Xenopus tropicalis: one gene and its partners. The protein of the gene in region 1 interacts with the protein of each later gene in a biochemical or structural test. Links are inferred from orthologs where the notes say so. Each region holds a gene or a part of one and is shown in the gene's direction. Other genes may lie near its edges.

Evidence for each region.
Region 2: the proteins of mcm4 (region 1) and ccna1 form a complex in vitro, tested with the Homo sapiens proteins (2 studies listed by BioGRID and IntAct, with this or other methods). The link is inferred for Xenopus tropicalis from reciprocal best matches to the Homo sapiens genes MCM4 and CCNA1.
Region 3: of the proteins of mcm4 (region 1) and dbf4, one has a biochemical effect on the other in vitro, tested with the Homo sapiens proteins (2 studies listed by BioGRID). The link is inferred for Xenopus tropicalis from reciprocal best matches to the Homo sapiens genes MCM4 and DBF4.
Region 4: of the proteins of mcm4 (region 1) and cdc7, one has a biochemical effect on the other in vitro, tested with the Homo sapiens proteins (2 studies listed by BioGRID). The link is inferred for Xenopus tropicalis from reciprocal best matches to the Homo sapiens genes MCM4 and CDC7.
Region 5: the proteins of mcm4 (region 1) and mcmbp form a complex in vitro, tested with the Homo sapiens proteins (2 studies listed by BioGRID). The link is inferred for Xenopus tropicalis from reciprocal best matches to the Homo sapiens genes MCM4 and MCMBP.

What each region holds. Positions count from the first base shown.
Region 1 is NC_030682.2:113,241,470-113,245,448, forward strand, and holds part of mcm4 (DNA replication licensing factor mcm4), read left to right. Parts: intron 1-289; coding exon 290-454; intron 455-1,093; coding exon 1,094-1,257; intron 1,258-1,339; coding exon 1,340-1,441; intron 1,442-1,568; coding exon 1,569-1,664; intron 1,665-1,753; coding exon 1,754-1,849; intron 1,850-2,010; coding exon 2,011-2,149; intron 2,150-2,336; coding exon 2,337-2,557; intron 2,558-2,700; coding exon 2,701-2,821; intron 2,822-3,784; coding exon 3,785-3,979. UniProt on the Homo sapiens protein: Acts as a component of the MCM2-7 complex (MCM complex) which is the replicative helicase essential for 'once per cell cycle' DNA replication initiation and elongation in eukaryotic cells.
Region 2 is NC_030678.2:151,895,330-151,899,771, reverse strand, and holds the start of ccna1 (cyclin-A1), read left to right. Parts: upstream 1-1,554; 5' UTR 1,555-1,583; intron 1,584-3,653; 5' UTR 3,654-3,677; coding exon 3,678-3,869; intron 3,870-4,311; coding exon 4,312-4,442. UniProt on the Homo sapiens protein: May be involved in the control of the cell cycle at the G1/S (start) and G2/M (mitosis) transitions. May primarily function in the control of the germline meiotic cell cycle and additionally in the control of mitotic cell cycle in some somatic cells.
Region 3 is NC_030682.2:29,274,751-29,278,416, reverse strand, and holds the end of dbf4 (protein DBF4 homolog A), read left to right. Parts: intron 1-18; coding exon 19-136; intron 137-769; coding exon 770-894; intron 895-1,635; coding exon 1,636-2,638; 3' UTR 2,639-2,970; downstream 2,971-3,666. UniProt on the Homo sapiens protein: Regulatory subunit for CDC7 which activates its kinase activity thereby playing a central role in DNA replication and cell proliferation. Required for progression of S phase.
Region 4 is NC_030680.2:104,915,921-104,919,899, reverse strand, and holds part of cdc7 (cell division cycle 7-related protein kinase), read left to right. Parts: coding exon 1-218; intron 219-613; coding exon 614-709; intron 710-2,113; coding exon 2,114-2,289; intron 2,290-3,979. UniProt on the Homo sapiens protein: Kinase involved in initiation of DNA replication. Phosphorylates critical substrates that regulate the G1/S phase transition and initiation of DNA replication, such as MCM proteins and CLASPIN.
Region 5 is NC_030683.2:6,240,071-6,244,701, forward strand, and holds the start of mcmbp (mini-chromosome maintenance complex-binding protein), read left to right. Parts: upstream 1-1,743; 5' UTR 1,744-1,863; coding exon 1,864-1,921; intron 1,922-4,620; coding exon 4,621-4,631. Other genes in the region: sec23ip (SEC23-interacting protein), read right to left, coding at 1,296-1,428. UniProt on the Homo sapiens protein: Associated component of the MCM complex that acts as a regulator of DNA replication.

The sequences.
Region 1 (3,979 bases):
ATATCCTTCCTTTAAATCACTTTTGTATGCTCTAATGGGGGCCTCCATTCAGTCTATACCATAACTACCATGGTGAAATTATCATGATCCCCTATAGACTTTCACACACACCGTTAATACCACAGAAAAATAAACCTATTAGGATATATTTTCTGGATATATACATGGCCTGGTGCTGTTGGAAATCCCTTTTTTTTTTTTTTTTTTTTTTTTTTTTTTGATAATACATACAATGACAATACAATATTATATTTATGTGACTGTTCCCTGTGTTCCCAATGTTTTGCAGCTCATGGAGAGGAAGTGCAGTCTCCTCCATCGCAGAGACGTCGGACAGAAGATTCCACATCTATTGGCGAACTTCTGCCCATGCCAACCTCACCTTCAGGGGACCTTCAGAGCCCCAGCGGGCAAGAGCTTATGTTTTCTAGCCCTGCACCATCAAGGCATTCTGGTATGCTGAACACATTTTTCCTCAATTACCATAGCATGCAGGTTCCCATTATAACAACATTGTATTTATTTGTGGGGGGGGGTTTCTTGCTCCCCAAATCTGAGTTTTTGTATACTTGGTGTCCCTATAATAATTAAAAAAAAAAAATTAGTAAAAGTGTTTTTTTTTTTTTTTTTTTACTAAATTCCAAAAACTGCTACTGGATGTGCCCTAATGACATTAAAGGGCCAGTGATACTATGAATTGAAAATGCCCTCAAAGTATTTACTAATGACAATCACTTAGTCTGTTGATTAGAAAATACTGAACCATTTTTAGATATTTTGTTAGAAAATGCCTGTTTTCTGCTGCTGGTTTTTACCAGTTTATAATTATATACTAACTAAGACTTCATTGGGTACAAAAAGGCTATGTGCTACTACTCCTATGAAAAGTACCGCCTTCAAAAGTAACCACAATTCTAGTATTATCATTTATTTTATTGTATGGCTATGGTTGATCCCTGTTTCACTAGATTTGTTGAATAAGATTTAGTAGAGAGCTCACATGAGTAACTAAGGTGTTTTACTAAGAATTGTAAAAAGTGTAAACCCATTAAAGATATGATTTCTAACTTTTCCAAATGTATTTTGCTTACAGCCCTTCAAAGTGAGCTTGATCTCAGCTCACCTCTCACTTATGGCACCCCTAGCTCAAGAGTTGAGGGTACCCCTAGAAGTGGTATCCGAGGGACTCCTGCTCGACAGAGACCTGACTTGGGATCAGCACGCAAAGTTAAGCAGGTGGATTTACATTCAGACCAAGTAAGTATCCTAAGCTCCATAACAGGTTGTTTACAAAATGAGTATTTGGTCAACATAATAATTCTAATTATGCTTTTTCAAGCCTGCTGCAGAGGAGCTGGTTACGAGTGAGCAATCTTTGGGACAGAAGCTGGTGATCTGGGGAACTGATGTCAATGTTGCCACTTGCAAAGAAAAGTTTCAGGTAAACAACTGGCCAGTCCTTACATTTTCATGTTTTTAATTTTTTTTTTAAATTGGATCAATTAGAATTTTGAGTTGTAATTTCAGTGCCGTTTTCTAACCTTTAAGTATCTCTTCCTATGATTTAGCGTTTTGTTCAGCGATTCATTGATCCTTTAGCTAAAGAAGAGGAAAATGTAGGACTGGATCTGAATGAGCCTATATATATGCAGCGACTTGAAGAGGTATGTGTGTTTTTAAAAAAAAAAAAAAATGTAGTATTTTTCTTCCAGTAAACCTAAGAAATCCTAAATTTTATTTTCTGTCCCTTTAGATAAATGTAGTAGGTGAGCCATTTCTCAATGTTGACTGTGACCATCTCAGAAGCTTTGATCAGGATCTTTACAGGCAGCTGGTTTGCTACCCACAGGTAATTTATGTTACTGTTCTTTCAGGAAAATTAATAATTACATATGTTTTTAGAAGCCATGATTTTCAGCCTGTTGTGAAGTTAATATATGTAAAAAAAAAAAAAAAAAAATCAGAAAAAGCTCTTAATTTGTTTGTTTTTTTTTTTTTTTTCCCCCTTAGGAAGTTATTCCAACATTTGATATGGCTGCTAATGAGATTTTCTTTGAGCGGTACCCTGACTCCATTTTAGAGCACCAGATTCAAGTTAGACCCTATAATGCATTGAAAACTAGAAATATGAGAAGCTTAAATCCAGAAGGTAATAAAATATGTTCAATGTTGTTGAGTCATGTCTAGTCTTAGACTAGTTTTAGTGTTCCACTGTTGCTTCCTATCAATTGAGTGAGAAACGAACAGCATCTGAAATTGGACTTTATTTTCATGGTTGTCAGGTTGCTTTTATAAACATAAGTTAGGCTAATGACACTTTTTTTTTTTCACCCTAGATATTGATCAGCTTATCACAATTAGTGGCATGGTTATCAGAACTTCTCAAATCATCCCAGAGATGCAGGAAGCATTTTTTAAATGTCAAGTGTGTGCCTTTACTACTAGAGTGGAGATTGATCGTGGTCGCATTTCAGAGCCATCAGTCTGCAAACACTGCAACACCACACACAGCATGGCTCTTATTCACAATCGCTCTATGTTCTCAGACAAGCAAATGGTAAGTTTTTATCTCATAACATTTGCTAACCACATATTTTGTGAAGATGGAATATATGCATTTTGCATATCTTCTATGGATGTGCCACAATGTTTTGAAAATAATTTCTTATGCAGTAGATTCTCATTATACTATACTCCTAGATTAAACTGCAAGAGTCTCCAGAAGATATGCCTGCTGGTCAGACCCCTCATACAACTATTCTCTATGGTCATAATGACTTGGTGGATAAGGTACAGCCTGGTGATAGAGTGAATGTCACAGGTATGTTCATTTGTACTGCAGAACATATTTTGCAACAGTCTTAATAGTGCCACATATTCAAATGTTATAATTTCTTTACATCTTATTTTAAGAAGCTTATTTCATCCACTCTTATTTAAGTTCCAGTAACATCTAGTGCACCAAATAAGTGGTAACTCTGATGTCATGCTAGGCAGTTTCTACTTTTTTTTTTTTTTTTTCTGGGGGGACTTCCCTGCTGGCCAATATTGCAGGTCACCCATGATGATCAAAATAAATTGTGGGTAATCTGTGAATTCACATGCCTGGCAGGTTACTTGCCTTAAATGATTTGTTGCATTTTTCTAGATGAAGTGAGCAGTTTTGGCTACAATGTGGGGATTGCAAAGAAAAGGAGCTTAAAATAGTGGAAAATAGAAAGGACAGATGGCATCACTATAGGTGTGGCTTTAAATAGTGGTTAACTCTATACTAATCTTTCCTTTCCCTTTAAGATTCAGAACTGGAAAAAGAAAGGAAAAGAGAGAACTGCTTTCAATTGCTGATGCCTTTTTAAAAACATTGACAATTTATAATGTAAATAACAAAGTTGCTTAAAATTATTATTGCATCTTTATTCATTATGCAATGGGTGGAGATCCCACGGTTCTATATCGCTCTGATCTGTAAATTGCTTAGGGAGGAAAACACCATTCATATTCAAACTTGCTAGTTTGCCACAAGGCTTCTTGATAAACTTTTAATTGCTCTTGATTTTATGGTGCTGACTATCAAGGACTTGTTACATAGACTTCATATTTTTGGCTTTCTTCATGTTATGCTGGGCAACCTAGAAAGCAGAAGAAAAAGATGTTCTACTAAAGCAAAATAATCACATTTGTGTTGAGTACTAACTAGCAAGCAGTTTGTTTTAACAGCACTAAACTGCTTGGTCACAGTGGAAATAACTAATTATTTAGCAACTTCAATGTTTTATTTCTCCAGGTATTTACAGAGCTGTCCCAATTCGAGTTAACCCTAGAGTTCGAAATGTAAAGTCTGTTTACAAAACTCACATTGATGTTATTCATTACCGAAAAACTGATGCAAAGCGGTTGCATGGTATTGATGAGGACACAGAACAGAAGATGTTCACTGAAGAAAGGGTTGCAATGTTAAAAGAACTTGCAGCAAAACCAG
Region 2 (4,442 bases), on another chromosome or scaffold:
CAGTACGAAAAAGTTGTGCAAATTAATGAAAAAATTGCAAACATATGCAAAAGTTGTAAACTTCTAATTTTTAGTAATCAGACCTGTTGTACTTTAATGAATGTGCCCCTTAGTGACGAAGTTAAGGGGGGTTTCTAAAATGAATCTGCTCTGGGGCCCAGTAACCTCTAGTTATGCCACTCTGGGTCCTACAGTAAAATAATTGTAGGGACCCTCAAATAGAAATGAGAATATTCCTTATGGTGCCCCCACCCTGAGTAACTATTTAGCAGCATTTCATATGGCATGAATACGGGGAAATCTGTTCGCCATTGCCATGGAAATCCAGAGAGAAGCCGGAGACGGGCTTGGCAGCAGTGAAAGTTCCAGTTAATTACCCAGCTCAGCGGGCACAACAAAGGCTTAACAGGCGATCAGTGGGTCCCTATATAAGCCTGATGCTACTAGCTATATTTAATTGATGCCTCCAGGGTAACTAAGGAGCCGCTGTACTCCCCCAGCCCGCTCCCTGCCAGTATCCCCTCACGTCCCTCAGTGCGGCGGTGCCTGTGGTGGCTAGCGACTGGCTCCTCCCACAAGCCGCCTTGCTTCCCTCCCCCGCAGCCCGGCGTTTGGCATCAGATGGCGAGTTGCTTAATTACAGGTCCCGGCTAGTGGGCGCCCACAATAAACGTTATATGAGTGGATGGCACCGCCAAATAGGGGGAATAGCGCCATTGTGCTGCCAAATAGGGGTAATAGCGCCATTGTGCTGCCAAATAGGGGGAATAGCGCCATTGTGCTGCCAAATAGGGGGAATAGCGCCATTGTGCTGCCAAATAGGGGGAATAGCGCCATTGTGCTGCCAAATAGGGGGAATAGCGCCATTGTGCTGCCAATAGCGGGCCGGCTGCCATTGCAGGGTCTGAGGAGATTTGTGTGAGACAGGGTGTAGCCCTAAGTGCCCTACAATTTGCTATCCTCTATGTTCAATTGATAATGTAATGAATCCCAAACCATTGTTCTTGATATAAAACACTTATCCCCATACAACCCCAAGTCCCATGATCCCCGGAAAGTGTAGTGGAAAATGTTCACATTAATATCCAAGTCATAAAGCAATTGTGCCTGTGCTCGGGTTTGACACATTTATTAAGTTATAAAGCCTGTGCTTGGGTTTGACACATCAGAGGTACGTGCGCAATCCCTGTCACTTGACATGTGGGAGAAGGCGGGGCCAAGCCTGCGCCTCAGATGGTCAGTTATCACAGCCCTGACAGCTGTCACTCGTTGTTAAGGCGCTTGAACCCCCTGCTCCTGCCCGGCTGTCAAGCTGCTTCCTGGTCGCTACGGAGACCAGACCATGTGACGCGCAGCTGAGCGGCCTCTGATTGGACAGGATCCCTAACCGCGGCTCAATTGAAAACACCGGAGTTAGTTATGTTATTGAGTAGCAGCAGCGGGACTCGGGCAGATGCACAGCCGCCTCCAATCACCGGCCCCGCTGCTCAGCTGCCACCACTTTCCTGCTTCGCATAAAATCCCCGGCCCTGCTCGGGGTAGGAAGGTGCGAGGTCTGTGTTGGGTGCTTGTAGTTGCAGCAGGTAGGTGCTTGCAGGGTTGCTCGCTGTTGGGTTGATGGGGGGGTTGAACTGCTTTGTTATACTCGGATACTCTCTCTATAAGTGGTGTTAGGGTGGCTTGGTAATGTGGAGCTGCTGCTATAGAAAGCTGCCATGGCTCTATAGGGAGGTATGGGTTAGAGATAAGGTGCCAGACTCTGTCAGCTGGGAGCTGTAGTTCCGCAGCATCTCCTGCCTCTAACGGAATAGGATATCGAACCTGTGGCCCTTCAGTTTGTCTACTCTAATCCTTCTGGTAGTACAGGGCTATAGTGTGGGGTTGTAGTAACTCACTTGTAAGTTGTGTCTCTTATGTTCCATTGCTCCGGGGCTCCAGCTTTGCTATAATGCTTGGGGTCAATTTGAAGGGATGGTTCACTTTCAGGTTAATAACTTCTATGGTATAAAATGCCCTATTAACTATATATTTTTTTCCCCCTCTAACTCTTTAATTAGAGTAAGTGAGTCACTGACCCCAATGAGAACTGTGTTCTGTTCAGGACTTTCAGTCTCATTTGAGTCACTGGTTGCTAGGGTACATTTGACACTAGTAACTGGTTAGCTGCCCAAATTCCACTGGAGAGCTGCTAACCATGATTTAAAAAAAAAAAAAAACCCAAAAACAATTGCAAATTTGTCTGTCCACCTCATACTTGAAGTGAAGTGCCCCCTTTTAACTTTGCTTTCTCTGTAAACCTGTACCCTACATAATCCCACAAGCAATAAGCTCCAGGAATTTCTTGTAATGTGGTGGTTTCCACATATTCCAATTGACATCAGTAAGGGTGGATTACAAGTTGGGGCTATTTGTCAGAAAGTTCAGAATCTGACCTCTTGGCTAGCTGAAGTAACTTTCAGATGAGAAGCTTGACTTTTCTCAAGCTGGACTACATAAATTAGGACTGGGTGTCTGGCTGAACCCAGTCTCTGGTTCATCTGGGTCTTGAGCAAGTTCTTAGTGGTCAAACCTGAAGCCAGTCAGTTACTACAAGGAGGGCTTAAAATGAACATTGCTAGATATGCTGTATTGTATATACTGACTGTCAGCCCGTAAGTTCTACAGCCCTATAACATTATCTAGCTCTTCTGGATGGGAGCTCCCTATATCGTCTGTAACTGACGGCAAGCTAGATCAAGCAGCCCGGAAAAGCGAGTCTGGAACAGGTAGAGCGGCGCAAGGCCATGACAAGGGGGTGAATAGGAACCCAAAGGAAGTTAGTGTGTAGCATGCTGGGAGTTGTAGTGCCACCCTGGAGTAAGGGGTTGGGGGGGGGGGGGGGGGTTGGTAGGCAATAAGGGGATATGGGTTTGAGTAGTCGCAGCTTTAGGCGTGCTAGGGCTGCCTTAGTGGGAGCCGAAAAATGGCTAAATAGATGACGGTACAGGTGTTTTTCTGGGGGGGGCTAGGCTTTGGGGGGGGGGGGGGAAGCAGTCATAGTAGGCACAGGAGGTGGGAAAGTTTGGTTGCGGAGGCTTAGTCACAGGCTTGAAAGGGTTCTTTAAATGTTTAAGGTTAACTTTAAGTAATTGTAATGCAGCCTTTAGCGGCTAAATGTTATGTAACATATGTTTATGTAATTGGTCTAAAGTGTTTTGGATTGAAACATTGATTACAATTCTGTTATGTTATCAATAAAATAAGCTGTGGCCTTTCCACCCAGATAAATGCGGGTGTGTTTGGTGTTGTGGGGTAAGGGGAACGTTATTGCAACCTCCCCATATCATGTGCTGGAGCTACTTGGCTATTGTCTAAGCCACAGATCATTACTGGTAAGGGTGATGGCAGGTTAGTTATCTGCAATAAATCTGCTCTACTGCGGGTGACCTCCTGAAAATGCTTTCCCACCAGCAATGTCATTCCTAAGTTTCTATAAAGCAATGAGTGGTTTTTCCACTAGCAATTAACATTATTGCCAGTGGGAGAGCATTTGCTGTGGACTAGTCACCTGCAGTAGAGCAGATATATACTCTATCTCTAACTATTTTTTTTTGTAATGGAATTCATCTGGTTGCAAAAATGGAGCTTGTTAAATCTTTAATTTTTTTTCCTAGTTAACTGAAACTTGAACAAGGAAAATGCGGCGCAGTATGGTATCTGGTGGCCATATCCTTACAGCCTCCTCTCTGGTGGGAACCGGCAATGCATTCCAGAATCAGTGCCTAGCCAAGGTAGAAGTTCAGTCTAACCTTCTGCCTCCAAGAGTTTCTCAAAGAACTGTGCTGGGAGTGATAAGTGACAATGACCAGCAAAAAAGATCAGTTGGACAGGTAAGTGTTTATAGTACCAGATAATACTGCCCACTACCACTAGTTTTACTTAAGAAATACACCTGTTTACAGAGCCTCTGAGCTGGTGTATCCATTCATTGTAACAGGCAGTGGAATTCTTAATGGGTATCTAAAAGTAAAATAGTGATTAAACTAAACTTAGTGGTTAGTGGCTTCTGAGGCAGCTTTAGACAGGCTTTTTCCTTAACAGCTTGGAGTCATCCACAAGTTCAAGGGCCAGATTAAATTAAAATGTCATATATTGAAATTCATGGAGCCTTTGGGCAGACTGGGGGCCATGAAAAGCCTTTGGATGGGCTTCCAGTTGGACAGGCTTAATAACGTGTGTGTGTGTGGGGGGGGGGGTTTAAAAAAAAAAAAAAAAAAAAAACACGGCTAGGTCTACCTGTGCAGATTAAATAATCAGTGTTCCAACTCTTAGGGTGGGGCCCCTGCAAAGTGTCTGCCTGGAATTGAAAATGTGCTTCCTTTCGCTGGAAAAATCCTGCCAACAAACCCAGCACTTGTGGCTCCAAAGCCAATCTTTACAGTGTATGTGGATGAGCCAGAGGA
Region 3 (3,666 bases), about 84 Mb from region 1:
CCATGTATTGTTTTGCAGTATAAATAAGACTGGTCACGTACAGGATGGTGCAAACAATGCAAATATTAAATTAAAGGAGCAAAAGAAGCATGGCTACTGTGAGTGCTGTCTTAAAAAATACGACAGTCTGGAATCTGTAAGTATAATCTATTTTTTCTTTAATAAATTATAGAGACTTAGTACTATTTTAAACATAACTAAAAACTATATAATTTTACTTGTAAAATATTTTTTGCAGTTTAATATGTTAAGGGGGATTAGAGCTCAAAACAGAAAAATTCACCCTCTTTCTATTTATTCCTATGGGCTTTTTAAAAGCATATTTATCAAAGGGTGAATTTTAAGTTTACTCATTCATAAATACACCTCTAAAATCCAATAGAAATGAATAGAAATTGGGTGAATTATTCTGTGGTGAGCTCTAATCTTACATTTTGATATATCAGCCCCTAAGTTTGTTACTAATATTCCAGTGGTAAGGACTGCATGGTAAGGACTTAGATCATGCATACATACAAACCAGTGCTATCAAAGTTTTCACATGTAGTGACATTATTATACTCTGGACCAAATGTTATTCTGAGTTATTAACTTTTTCCTAACTGTGTCAGTCCATTGGAATGCATTTGCTTAGAGCAGTCAAACTCCATTTTGTATTTTTATCCTGTCTTCATATTAACATATCATGTAATGTAAAATTTAGCAGTCCTTTACACGCATTAATATGTGTATACATACATAATTTATGGATTCATTTTTTTTATTGCAGCATATTTTAAGCCCACAGCATAAGAACTATTCAGAAAGTGCATACTATCAAGTGGTTGATGATCTTATTTCTACTTTTGAGTTTGACTTTGTGGATTGGTCGAAATACAAAAATGGAAGAAAAAGGTAAATACATAAATTGTAAATATCAACTACTCAGCCAGGGCATTGCTTGGCAATAAAGTCAGCTTGCTACCATTTTCAGGTGGTATTCTTTTTTTTAAAGTGGAACTCTACTCAAACACAACATAAGCTTTTTAAAAGGTAAACATAATTTCAAACAACTTTGCAATAAACAGTTAAATAATATGCAGCCTTTTCATGATGTTTGATGTAATATGATTTGGAACAGTTCCCTAAGCCTGGCCCCCCTGTTCTCCTGCTGATCTGGCTGACTACTTCAAATAAAGTGTAACCGTATTCAATTGTCCTCAGCCTGCGCCTTCAAATCACACAATCCCCTTCACTCATGATGTCAATAAGAAAAGGAATATAACGGTGCAAAGTATTGTGGGTTATGTAGTTCCTGCATTCTGTAAGCTGTGGAGAAATAACACTAATATTTTAGTCCCTCCTCCCCTGCCAGGATGATGCAGAAAGAAGAACCATTTTGAAGCTGGATTTCAGCAAATAAAATCGTATTTATTAATACTTTTTGAAGGAACAGATAATAGCAATAGGTGTATTAGGAGTTTGTGTTGTGTGGGGCTCTTTAACAAATTTAGGTTCAGAAGCCAAAGTTCACATTTAATAGGTTATAACATTTGCACCAGGTATAGTAACCATACCAGCAGGTAGAGTTTATTGGTTACCTGTTACTTTCCATATATTCATTATATATGTATATTATTTTTTTTTTATTTGTAGTGTGGGGATATTGATGTTGACTGAAAAATATAAAGCTGAAGGCCAGGAGAGAAATGAAGCTTCAAAAGCAAACACTTTTTCAGAAAGAGTGTCAGCTACCACCCCACTGCAGGAGAATACGTTAAAGGATCCTTATGCTACTTCTTGTTCTGTTCCACCAACTCCTGTTTGCAATACCGATCCAATGTTTTCCTTGCCCTCTCCTGTGGGATCTGCAGAATTATGCAACAAAAAATATACAACAGACAACTTTGAGCAACTTGTAGCAACATCTGTGCCAGCTTTGTGTTTGAAGGACAATCTCCCGGGTTCATTAGGTGAAAGAGAAATGTCAGTTGTTTACAATGAAACGAAACAAAATGAAACTATAGATCATACTATGGAGAGGCCAAAGATTGGGTGGGATGCTAGCAACATTCCTAGCAATATCTTACTATATGTTCCACAGAAGGTAGACGCTGTCGCACAGTACGCGAATGTCTCTCTAAAGGGAAATATACATTGTAGTAAATTGACTGCATGCCAGGCAGCTCTCACTTATGGAAAAATGGATCCAGCTGTGTGTGATAATATTACATTTCCTAAGACTGTAAATCACCTTCACAACAAAGAAGGGCATAGAACAATGGACCAAATATATCCCACTGTACAGTCGGATGAGCTCCAGAGTCTCCTGCCTGATTACTCGCCTTCAGGAAATCTGCACAGGAAACTGAAGACTTCTGCTCAAACAAACCTAGCTGATGATGAGCTTCTCTGCAGACTCTCGCATAAGGTGTCTGTTCCACAGCAAAATGATGTTTTAAATGTACCCAGTGAAACTCTGCTAGCAATGTTTGAGTCCAGTGAGGATAAAACTGAGTTTTTTGGGTTTGCTGGCAGCTGTGTGTGTGACCCATGCAGTATGGATGATGGCGATAATCGGGATCAAGCCCACAAAAACTTGCTTTTGTCTCTCTTCTCGCACACCACCACGTCTGGCTCTTCGTTTCTTGGCTTTTAATGTTTGAGTTTTAATTATTTGTAATTTTATTATTTGTTTTAATGATTTTAATGCGCGGAAAATACTTTTCTTTAATCCACAAAATAAATAGCCAGATGTGAGATTTCTTTGTATAGCAACAGTAATACTTAAAGACACTCTTATTTTAGTAAGTAAAACGTATTTCTCACAATAATGTTCTTAAGTTTCATTACTCACATAGAACATAATGTTCTAATCTTTCTCTTTGGAAATTTTGCTGGTGTGTTTCTGTGGTTACAAGTCTGTAGGTTTTCTTATGTTTCATGATTCAGATTAAGAATATGGAGTGCTCTTGAAATTTCAAAATTAAATATAAAAAAAATCTGTGAAAAACTGATATCAATTCAGGATTCTGCTGCAGAAGCTCTATTAACTGATGTGTTTTGAAAAACAAACATGTTTTCCCATGACAATATTGCTTTAACAAATAGGGCTTGTGCTGAACATGTGTTTTTGTCTCTGCATAAACGACTGTTCCCTAAGCGGAAACCTTTTGTTGAGATAATTGTGCATATAATAACATGATGGAGAACTGTGACTTTTACTTTTTAATGAGCAAGAAATAACAAAAAAAAACCATGCATACAGTATTTCCTAATAAAGTTTGTTCAGCACAAGCCCTATGAATTAATTTAGTGTTGAATAAATGGGTATGATGCTCCTTTTTTAAATAGCAAACTGATTTATAGTTTGCTCCACTAAATGAAACTGTATCTTTGCTGCAACCTACTAAATTAAATGTGCATATATACCTTAGCTAGGTTTCATAGCTAACTACAAAATAGACAATCTTCTTAAACCTTGTGTTGTGGTTCTGTGAAACTCCAAGGAAAATGTCACTGCAAAGGCGTACATTATACAGATCATACATATGACAACAGATAAGAATAAAATTAATGTATGCATAGACCTATTAAATTGGTTACCATGTTGTCTTTACACTATATGCAGTAACAGAATATTAATTCTTAAATCATGTACAGGTATAGGATTTCTTTTTAGCAATG
Region 4 (3,979 bases), on another chromosome or scaffold:
CTCAAGGAACACCAGACACAAAAATTGATCTTCTGAAAGTTTTGCAGCCCAAAAAACAGGGAAGTTGCTCACAAAATCATCCGTATATTATATCAGGAAACTGGGTGCATCAGAATATACCGGTACTTAGAAAAGTAAACCATGTATCATCAAAACAGTCTGTTAAAAAGCAGTGGTCACATTCAGGAACTCATATATCCACAGGAAACCATGGACAGGTCCTCAGTCTTTTTTTCTCTTTTTGGGTGAACACCAAGCATAGAATTTGCCAAAGACATAAACCCCTATTTATTATACTATTTTACCAAAAAACAAAACAGACCTCTGATAACTTTTTATGTTTAACACAGTTCAGTTATGTATATTTTTGGTTGGTGGTCACATTTGCTTCATTTTTTCATAGTATCAAGAGTATGTTTCAGTGCATTTTTGTTAAGACCATGTTCATTATATTGTTTATAGCTCTGTCTAGACTGTTCTTTTCCACATGGAAAAGATTTGGTTGCCTGAAAACATGCATGCAGCTGTTCTCATTTTACTTATGTACTACTACCTTCATTTTCAGTGTGTTAGATATAATTCTTATTGTACTTGATTTGGATTGGTTTTTCAGGAAGGGCTGTTTGGCAGCTCTGCTCAGCGGTCTGTATTTGGAGAGAGGAATTTTAATGTGCACAGTGCTGTCACCACTGACAACACCACTTTAAAAGTAAGTCAAAATGTGTTGCCTATTAAGAAATGTCAATATTTCATTTAATTCTGTAAATAATGAATCTATGCTCCTTCAACCTGAAGAGAATGTGTTCTGCAGAGAACTGTTGTTTATGTTAGTGCTGTAAGTTTGGTCTTTCGTTTGATTTAACTCTTCAAGTGCCAGCACATTTCATATTCATTAGCATTTTTATAAGCTGTGGGCTGGATGTGTTAATTGTTCATTTTACATTTTTTAAATATTGATGCTATTTGCTGCTTAGAAGTTTGGCTAACTAAAAAACTAGCTAAAAAAAATATATATGCCTTTTTGTACTTACTTTAGGTGTGGCTCTGGTTTATGGGAAATTCTGATTTGCTATATATGGTGGTGTTATATTCTCAGGCTCCCCACCAACTCTATTTTTATTACATTAAGAAGCTTATTGAGCCATACGTGGAGGCCCATTTATCAACTTTATGGTTTTAGAGTTTTTTTTGAAACCATGAATAAACTAATTTCCACTAAAACCACAAATGTTTTGTCATTTATTGAAAGATCCAAATTTGAAAACAAATGAATAAAAATGCGGAACAAAAATAAAAAGAAAACCTAACATTTTCATATGCCTGCAAATTAAAAATTACACACAAACCTTAAAAAAAAATCAAGATTTACATTCTGCCTAGGACAGCTCCCAATGACTTCTACATTACCTCGACAGCATTCAGATGGCAGATTTTTACATTTGTGGTTTTAAATTTTTACTTAAATATGAATGTAAGTAAATGGGCCCTACTGTCAAAAGCATGAAAGTTATACACTGTAACTCATGCTTTTAATTGTATTATTGTTATTAAAGTATTACTAAAAAATAATATATATAATATATATATAAATATATTTGCTTTAAGTTTAATATTCATTATTTGGAAGCTGTGACATTTTTTACTGTCTATATAAGAAAAAAGTTAGTTATTTCAACAACATAGCCTTCCTAATGTCCCATTCACGTGGGTGTTTCTAAGTTCATTGCTGGGCAGTGGCTTTTTTGTGCATTGCACCGCACAGGAAGGCACAAGCTGACTATGAGGACTGCATCCGCAGGTGCGCACAAGCTCTGAATGCAGATAAAATGTCCAGTTTTACCTTGTTAGCTCTTTGGTGCACCTCATGTCTACAGTCCTCACAAAGAAGTCTGTGGTTACTTCACTTCTGCATTCCTGTGCTGTGTAATGCACAAAATAGCCCCTGTACAGGGAGGCAACACCCATGTGTAAAGGCCTTCATATGAAATACAATTAAGGTCTTCTATGGGAAAGCTGTTTTATCTCTGTAAGTACTGTATACTTCACCTGCTGTTTGTTCTCCATTATTAGAACTACTCTAACCGTGGTATCCTTATTTACCTTCTTATTGTAGGCAGTAAAACCATCCAAAATGCTAGATGTAACAACAAGAAAGCTGGCAACAAGAAAGACTGTTTCTGCAAAAAGCACAAGTAGTAGTGTCAATAAGAAAGCTTCCAGTATATGCCAAACAAGCTTGGCCTGCGACTGTTATGCAAAAGATCAAGTGTGTAATATTTGCCTTGCAAGGTAAACATTTGAGTTTGTGCTGTAAAAAAAAAAAAAAGGATAATAAGAATTTCTTAGTAATGGGAATAGTATTTTTCCCTTTCTGATTTTCCCTTATTGCATATTTGTCGCATTTTACGTCTTTGTTTGATGCTTTTAACACAATGTACTATTAAAGGGAAATAGTGACACATTTATCCAGCACCCATATCACCCATGTGAAAAGTAGCAGCCAGTCTTCTTGAACTTAACCCTTTATTTACTTAAAGAGGAAATCCACCAAAACACAACTTAAGCGTTTTGAAAATTAAACATAATTTCAAGCAACTTTGCAATATACATCAATTAAAAAAAATATGCAGCCTTTTCATGATTTATAATGTAATAATATTGTTTGGAACAGTTACCTAAGCCTGCCCCCCTGTTCTCCTGCTGACCTGGCTGACTCAAATAAAATGTAACATTGGTTGACTGTCCTTAGCCTGCATCCTCCAATTTCCTGCACGCGTGATGTCAGTAAGGAAAGGAAAATCACAGTGCAATGCATTGTGGGTTATGTATTTCCTGCATGCTGTCTGTAACACAAGTTCTGTACACAAGCTAATATGTAAAACCCTGCTTCATCTAAATAAACCATTTGCATAAAAATATACTTTTTAGTAGTATGTGCTATTGGGTACTCCTAAATAGATAATTGCCATTTTACGAATTAAGGGCCACCTCCTGGGATCATAGGATTCCCAGTGCACACAAACAAGCCAAGGCACACATACATGCTCTGCCACATCAGCCAATTAATGGACAGAGTTCTGCCTTTTGCTTCCACAATTCTTCCTGTTGCAGTTAAAGCTGCATTATTCCTGCTCATGTGATCTCTGAGGGAGCACACAACCCATCACTAAATGGTGGATCAAGGGAAAGGATGTTAAGGAGCGCTCTGGCAGACTAGGAGATTAGTCGCCAGCGACAAAACTCCCTGTTCGCGGGCGACTAATCTCCCCGGATTGCCATCCCACCGGCGAAAATGTAAATCACCGGTGGGATGGCATACGCGGCGGCACGATTTTGGGGAGATTAGTCGCCCGAGACTAATCTCCCCGTCTGCCAGAGCCCTAAAGGGTAATATTTACTGATATATTGCAGATATTCTTTAATCACTAAACATAAGATAACCTTAACACTAAGATAAACTATCTGTTAAGTATTCATCATGGGGGTATAGTTTTCCTTCAACAAATTTTGGTTTAGAATCCTGAGTTCCCCCTTAACTCTCTTAACTCATGTTAACGTTTAGTAATCACACACTATATAGATTATACTGTATATAGTATGGAATCTGTTATCCAGAAAGTTCTGAATTACAGGAAGGCCATCTGCCATACACTTCATTCTAATAAAATACTTTCTATTTTTAAAAATGATTTCTGTTTTCTCTGTAATAATAAAACAGTACCTTGATCCCAACTTAGATATCCTTATTGGAAGCAACACAATGCTATTGGTTTTATTTAATGTTTAAATCATCTTTTAGTAGTCAAAGCATTGTGATCCTAATTCGTGATCCTAATTCCTAATCCTAAAATCCCTTAACTGGAAAGCCCCAGGTCCTGGGAATTCTGAATAACAGGTCTCACACCTCTATATATAATTATGATAGTATTACCGTATTTTTCGCCGTATAAGACGCACTTTTTCTTCCCCCAAACTGGGG
Region 5 (4,631 bases), on another chromosome or scaffold:
GGGCACCGGGCTCGGCAGTAGGACAGGGTTGGGGGGCACTGGGCAGTAGGACAGGGTTGGGGGGCACCGGCTCGGCAGTAGGACAGGGTTGGGGGCACCGGCTCGGCAGTAGGACAGGGTTGGGGGGCACTGGGCAGTAGGAAGGGTTGGGGGGCTCTGGGCTAGGACAGGGTTGGGGGGCACCGGCTCGCAGTAGGACAGGGTTGGGGGCACCGGCTCGGCAGTAGGACAGGGTTGGGGGCACTCGGCAGTAGGACAGGGTTGGGGGGCACCGGCTCGGCAGTAGGACAGGGTTTGGGGGGGCACTGGGCAGTAGGACAGGGTTGGGGGCACTGGGCAGTAGGACAGGGTTGGGGGCACTGGGCAGTAGGACAGGGTTGGGGGGCACGGGGCAGTAGGACAGGGTTGGGGGGCACTGGGCAGTAGGACAGGGGTTGGGGGCACTGGGCAGTAGGACAGGGTTGGGGGGCCTTAGGACAGGGTTGGGGGCACGGGCAGTAGGACAGGTTGGGGGGCACTGGGCAGTAGGACAGGGTTGGGGGCAACTGGGCAGTAGACAGGGTTGGGGGGCACTGGGCAGTAGGGACAGGTTGGGGGCACGGCAGTAGGACAGGGTTGGGGGCACTGGCAGCAGGTTGGGGGGCACTGGGCCAGTAGGACAGGGTTGGGGGGCACTGGGCAGTAGGACAGGGTTGGGGGGCACTGGGCAGTAGGACAGGGTTGGGGGGCACTGGGCAGTAGGACAGGGTTTGGGGGCACTGGGCAGTAGGACAGGGTAGGGGGCACTGGGCAGTAGGACAGGGTTGGGGGGCACTGGGCAGTAGGACAGGGTTGGGGGGCACTGGGCAGTAGGACAGGGGTTGGGGGGCACTGGGCAGTAGGACAGGGTTGGGGGGCACTGGGCCAGTAGGACAGGGTTGGGGGCACTGGGCAGTAGGACAGGGTTGGGGGGCACTGGGCAGTAGGACAGGGTTGGGGGGCACTGGGCAGTAGGACAGGGTTGGGGGCACTGGGCAGTAGGACAGGGTTGGGGGCACTGGGCAGTAGGACAGGGTTTGGGGGGCACTGGGCAGTAGGACAGGGTTGGGGGGCACTGGGCAGTAGGACAGGGTTGGGGGGCACTGGGCAGTAGGACAGGGTGGGGGGCACCGGGCAGTAGGACAGGGTTGGGGGGCACTGGGCAGTAGGACAGGGTTGGGGGGGCACTGGGCAGTAGGACAGGGTTGGGGGGCACTGGGCAGTAGGACAGGGTTGGGGGGCACTGGGCAGTAGGAGTGAGGGGCCCCTTTACTCACCGCTCGGAAGCATTGCGGGGCCGTGCTGGCTCACAGGGATGAAGGGAAGGGAGAAGCTGATCTCGGAGGCGGAGAAGAGCAGGTTGTTGCCAGGCGGCCCGGACTGAGCCCCGTTAGGTACCTTCCCCGCCATGTCCGTCCCACAAGTTCCACGTAACCCACCCGGGACAGCAGGAACCGGACCCGTCACCAAGTGAGTACGTCCAATCAATACCTACGGGCGTTCCGCGTTATCCAATGAGAACTCGCCAAACACAAACCTCCCCAACCAGTGGCTGAAGAGCAAAGTTCATATGCATGACGTAGCACCTCAGCTCCACCAATTAAACCGTGCGTTTAGATAAAAGGGCGGTTCCAGAGGTTCCTATCCCTTTCGCTAACTATAATGTGGCTGCCCGGCTGAGGACTTCCGCCAGTCGCTACGTGCACTCCAGCCAAAACATGGCCGCGCTCATGGAGATTTCCGCCAACCAGTGCGTTTCGGGAGCGCTTGACGCGACCCATTGCGTAGTGACGTCTTTTTCCCGCCATCACTGAGTTAGTTCAACGAGTCTTTGGTGTCTGCGCGATGACTGGAGGAGAAAGCTGGATCAGCGACCCGCTCGGTGTGGTACAGGGCTTGTTTGGTGAGTGGGGCAGCGTCCGGCCCCCGGGCCAGCAGGAGTGGGGCGGGTAGAGCCGGGCATGAGTGGGGCGGGTAGAGCCGGGCATGAGTGGGGCAGGCGGGTAGAGCCGGGCATGAGTGGGGCGGGTAGAACCGGGCATGAGTGGGGCGGGTAGAGCCGGGCATGAGTGGGGCGGGTAGAACCGGGCATGAGTGGGGCGGGTAGAGCCGGGCATGAGTGGGGCGGGCGGGTAGAGCCGGGCATGAGTGGGGCGGGCGGGTAGAGCCGGGCATGAGTGGGGCAGGCGGGTAGAGCCGGGCATGAGTGGGGCTGGTAGAGCCGGGCATGAGTGGGGCGGGTAGAGCCGGGCATGAGTGGGGCGGGTAGAGCCGGGCATGAGTCGGGCGGGTAGAGCCGGGCATGAGTGGGGCGGGTAGAGCCGGGCAATGGGTGGGGCGGGTAGAGCCGGGCATGAGTGGGGGCGGGTAGAGCCGGGCATGAGTGGGGCGGGTAGAGCCGGGCATGAGTGGGGCGGGTAGAGCCGGGCATGAGTGGGGCGGGTAGAGCCGGGCATGAGTGGGGGCGGGTAGAGAGCCGGGCATGAGTGGGGCGGGCGGGTAGAGCCGGGCATGAGTGGGGCGGGTAGAGCCGGGCATGAGTGGGGGGGGTAGAGCCGGGCATGAGTGGGGCGGGCGGGTAGAGCCGGGCATGAGTGGGGTGGGTAGAGCCGGGCATGAGTGGGCGGGGTAGAGCCGGGCATGAGTGGGGCGGGCGGGTAGAGCCGGGCATGAGTGGGGCGGGCGGGTAGAGCCGGGCATGAGTGGGGCGGGCGGGTAGAGCCGGGCATGAGTGGGGCGGGCGGGTAGAGCCGGGCATGAGTGGGGCGGGCGGGTAGAGCCGGGCATGAGTGGGGCGGGTAGAGCCGGGCATGAGTGGGGCTGGTAGAGCCGGGCATGAGTGGGGCCGGGTAGAGCCGGGCATGAGTGGGGCGGGTAGAGCCGGGCATGAGTGGGGCGGGTAGAGCCGGGCATGAGTGGGGCGGTGAGCCGGGTCGGGTAGAGCCGGGCATGAGTGGGGCGGGTAGAGCCGGGCATGAGTGGGGCGGGTAGAGCGGGCATGAGTGGGGCGGGTAGAGCCGGGCATGAGTGGGGCGGGCAGAGCCGGGCATGAGTGGGGCGGGTGAGGGGCGGGTAGAGCCGGGCATGAGTGGGGCGGGCGGGTAGAGCCGGGCATGAGTGGGGGCGGCGGGTAGAGCCGGGCATGAGTGGGGCGGGCGGGTAGAGCCGGGCATGAGTGGGGCAGGCGGGTAGAGCCGGGCATGAGTGGGGCGGGTAGAGCCGGGCATGAGTGGGGCGGGGTAGAGCCGGGCATGAGTGGGGCGGGTAGAGCCGGGCATGAGTGGGGCGGTAGAGCCGGGCATGAGTGGGGCGGGCGGGTAGAGCCGGGCATGAGTGGGGCGGGTAGAGCCGGGCATGAGTGGGGCGGGTAGAGCCGGGCATGAGTGGGGCGGGCGGGTAGAGCCGGGCATGATGGGGGCGGGCGGGTAGAGCCGGGCATGAGTGGGGCGGGTGGGCGGGTAGCAGGCCGGGCATGATGGGGCGGGGTAGAGCCGGGCATGAGTGGGGCGGGTAGAGCCGGGCATGGGGGGCCGGGGTAGAGCCGGGCATGAGTGGGGCGGGTAGAGCCGGGCCATGAGTGGGGCGGGGTAGAGCCGGGCATGAGTGGGGCGGGCGGGTAGAAGCCGCGGCATGAGTGGGCCGCGGGTAGAGCCGGGCATGAGTGGGGCTGGCGGGTAGAGCCGGGCATGAGTGGGGCTGGCGGGTAGAGCCGGGCATGAGTGGGGCGGGCGGGTAGAGCCGGGCATGAGTGGGGCTGGCGGGTAGAGCCGGGCCATGAGTGGGGCGGGTAGAGCCGGGCATGAGTTGGGGGGAGGGCGGGCGGGTAGAGCCGGGCGTGAGTGGGGCGGGCAGGTAGAGCCGGGCATGAGTGGGGCGGGCATGAGTGGGGCGGGTAGAGCCGGGCATGAGTGGGGCGGGCGGAGCCGGGCATGAGGGGGGGTAGAGCCGGGCATGAGTGGGGCGGGCGGGTAGAGCCGGGCATGAGTGGGGCGGGCGGGTAGAGCCGGGCATGAGTGGGGCAGGCGGGCGGGTAGAGAAAACCCATTTAGGGGCATATTTATTATAGTGTGTAGGCAACATTATAAGTTCTAAAATGTAAATATCTGGTTGGTTGCTATGGCAACATGACTAGTGATGTTTGCTTACACCCTAATATAAAGATGCCCTTTAGTGTGATGGCACCTGTGGCACCATGCCATCTCTGCTGAGTATGGAGCGGCCTCTAGTAGCCCAACGATCCCTGATTGTTGAACTGTGGCACCCAGCACCCACATTCCCTGCTCGCTGTATGCATGGGGGTGGCACAGGTATGTAGTGTTGGGTGGCACCCTCTCACTTAGGTGGGCACTGGGTTTAGCGCTGCACAGGATGTGCCCCAATAGCAGCTGGGGGGCCCCAGGCTACTGTACCCTGAATCAGGACATGGGTGTGAGTGCATTACACAGTTACGTAGTAGCTCAGGTAGAAAAAAGACCAACTTTACTGAATATCATGTTTATCCCTTTCAGCTATTAGCGTTTTGCTTTTCATTATGCCATGTGTGCCCCCTCCAATATGTTTCTCTATGAGACCCCCGATCTCACCCCGTGCCCTGTATTCCAGCAGCTCAGAGA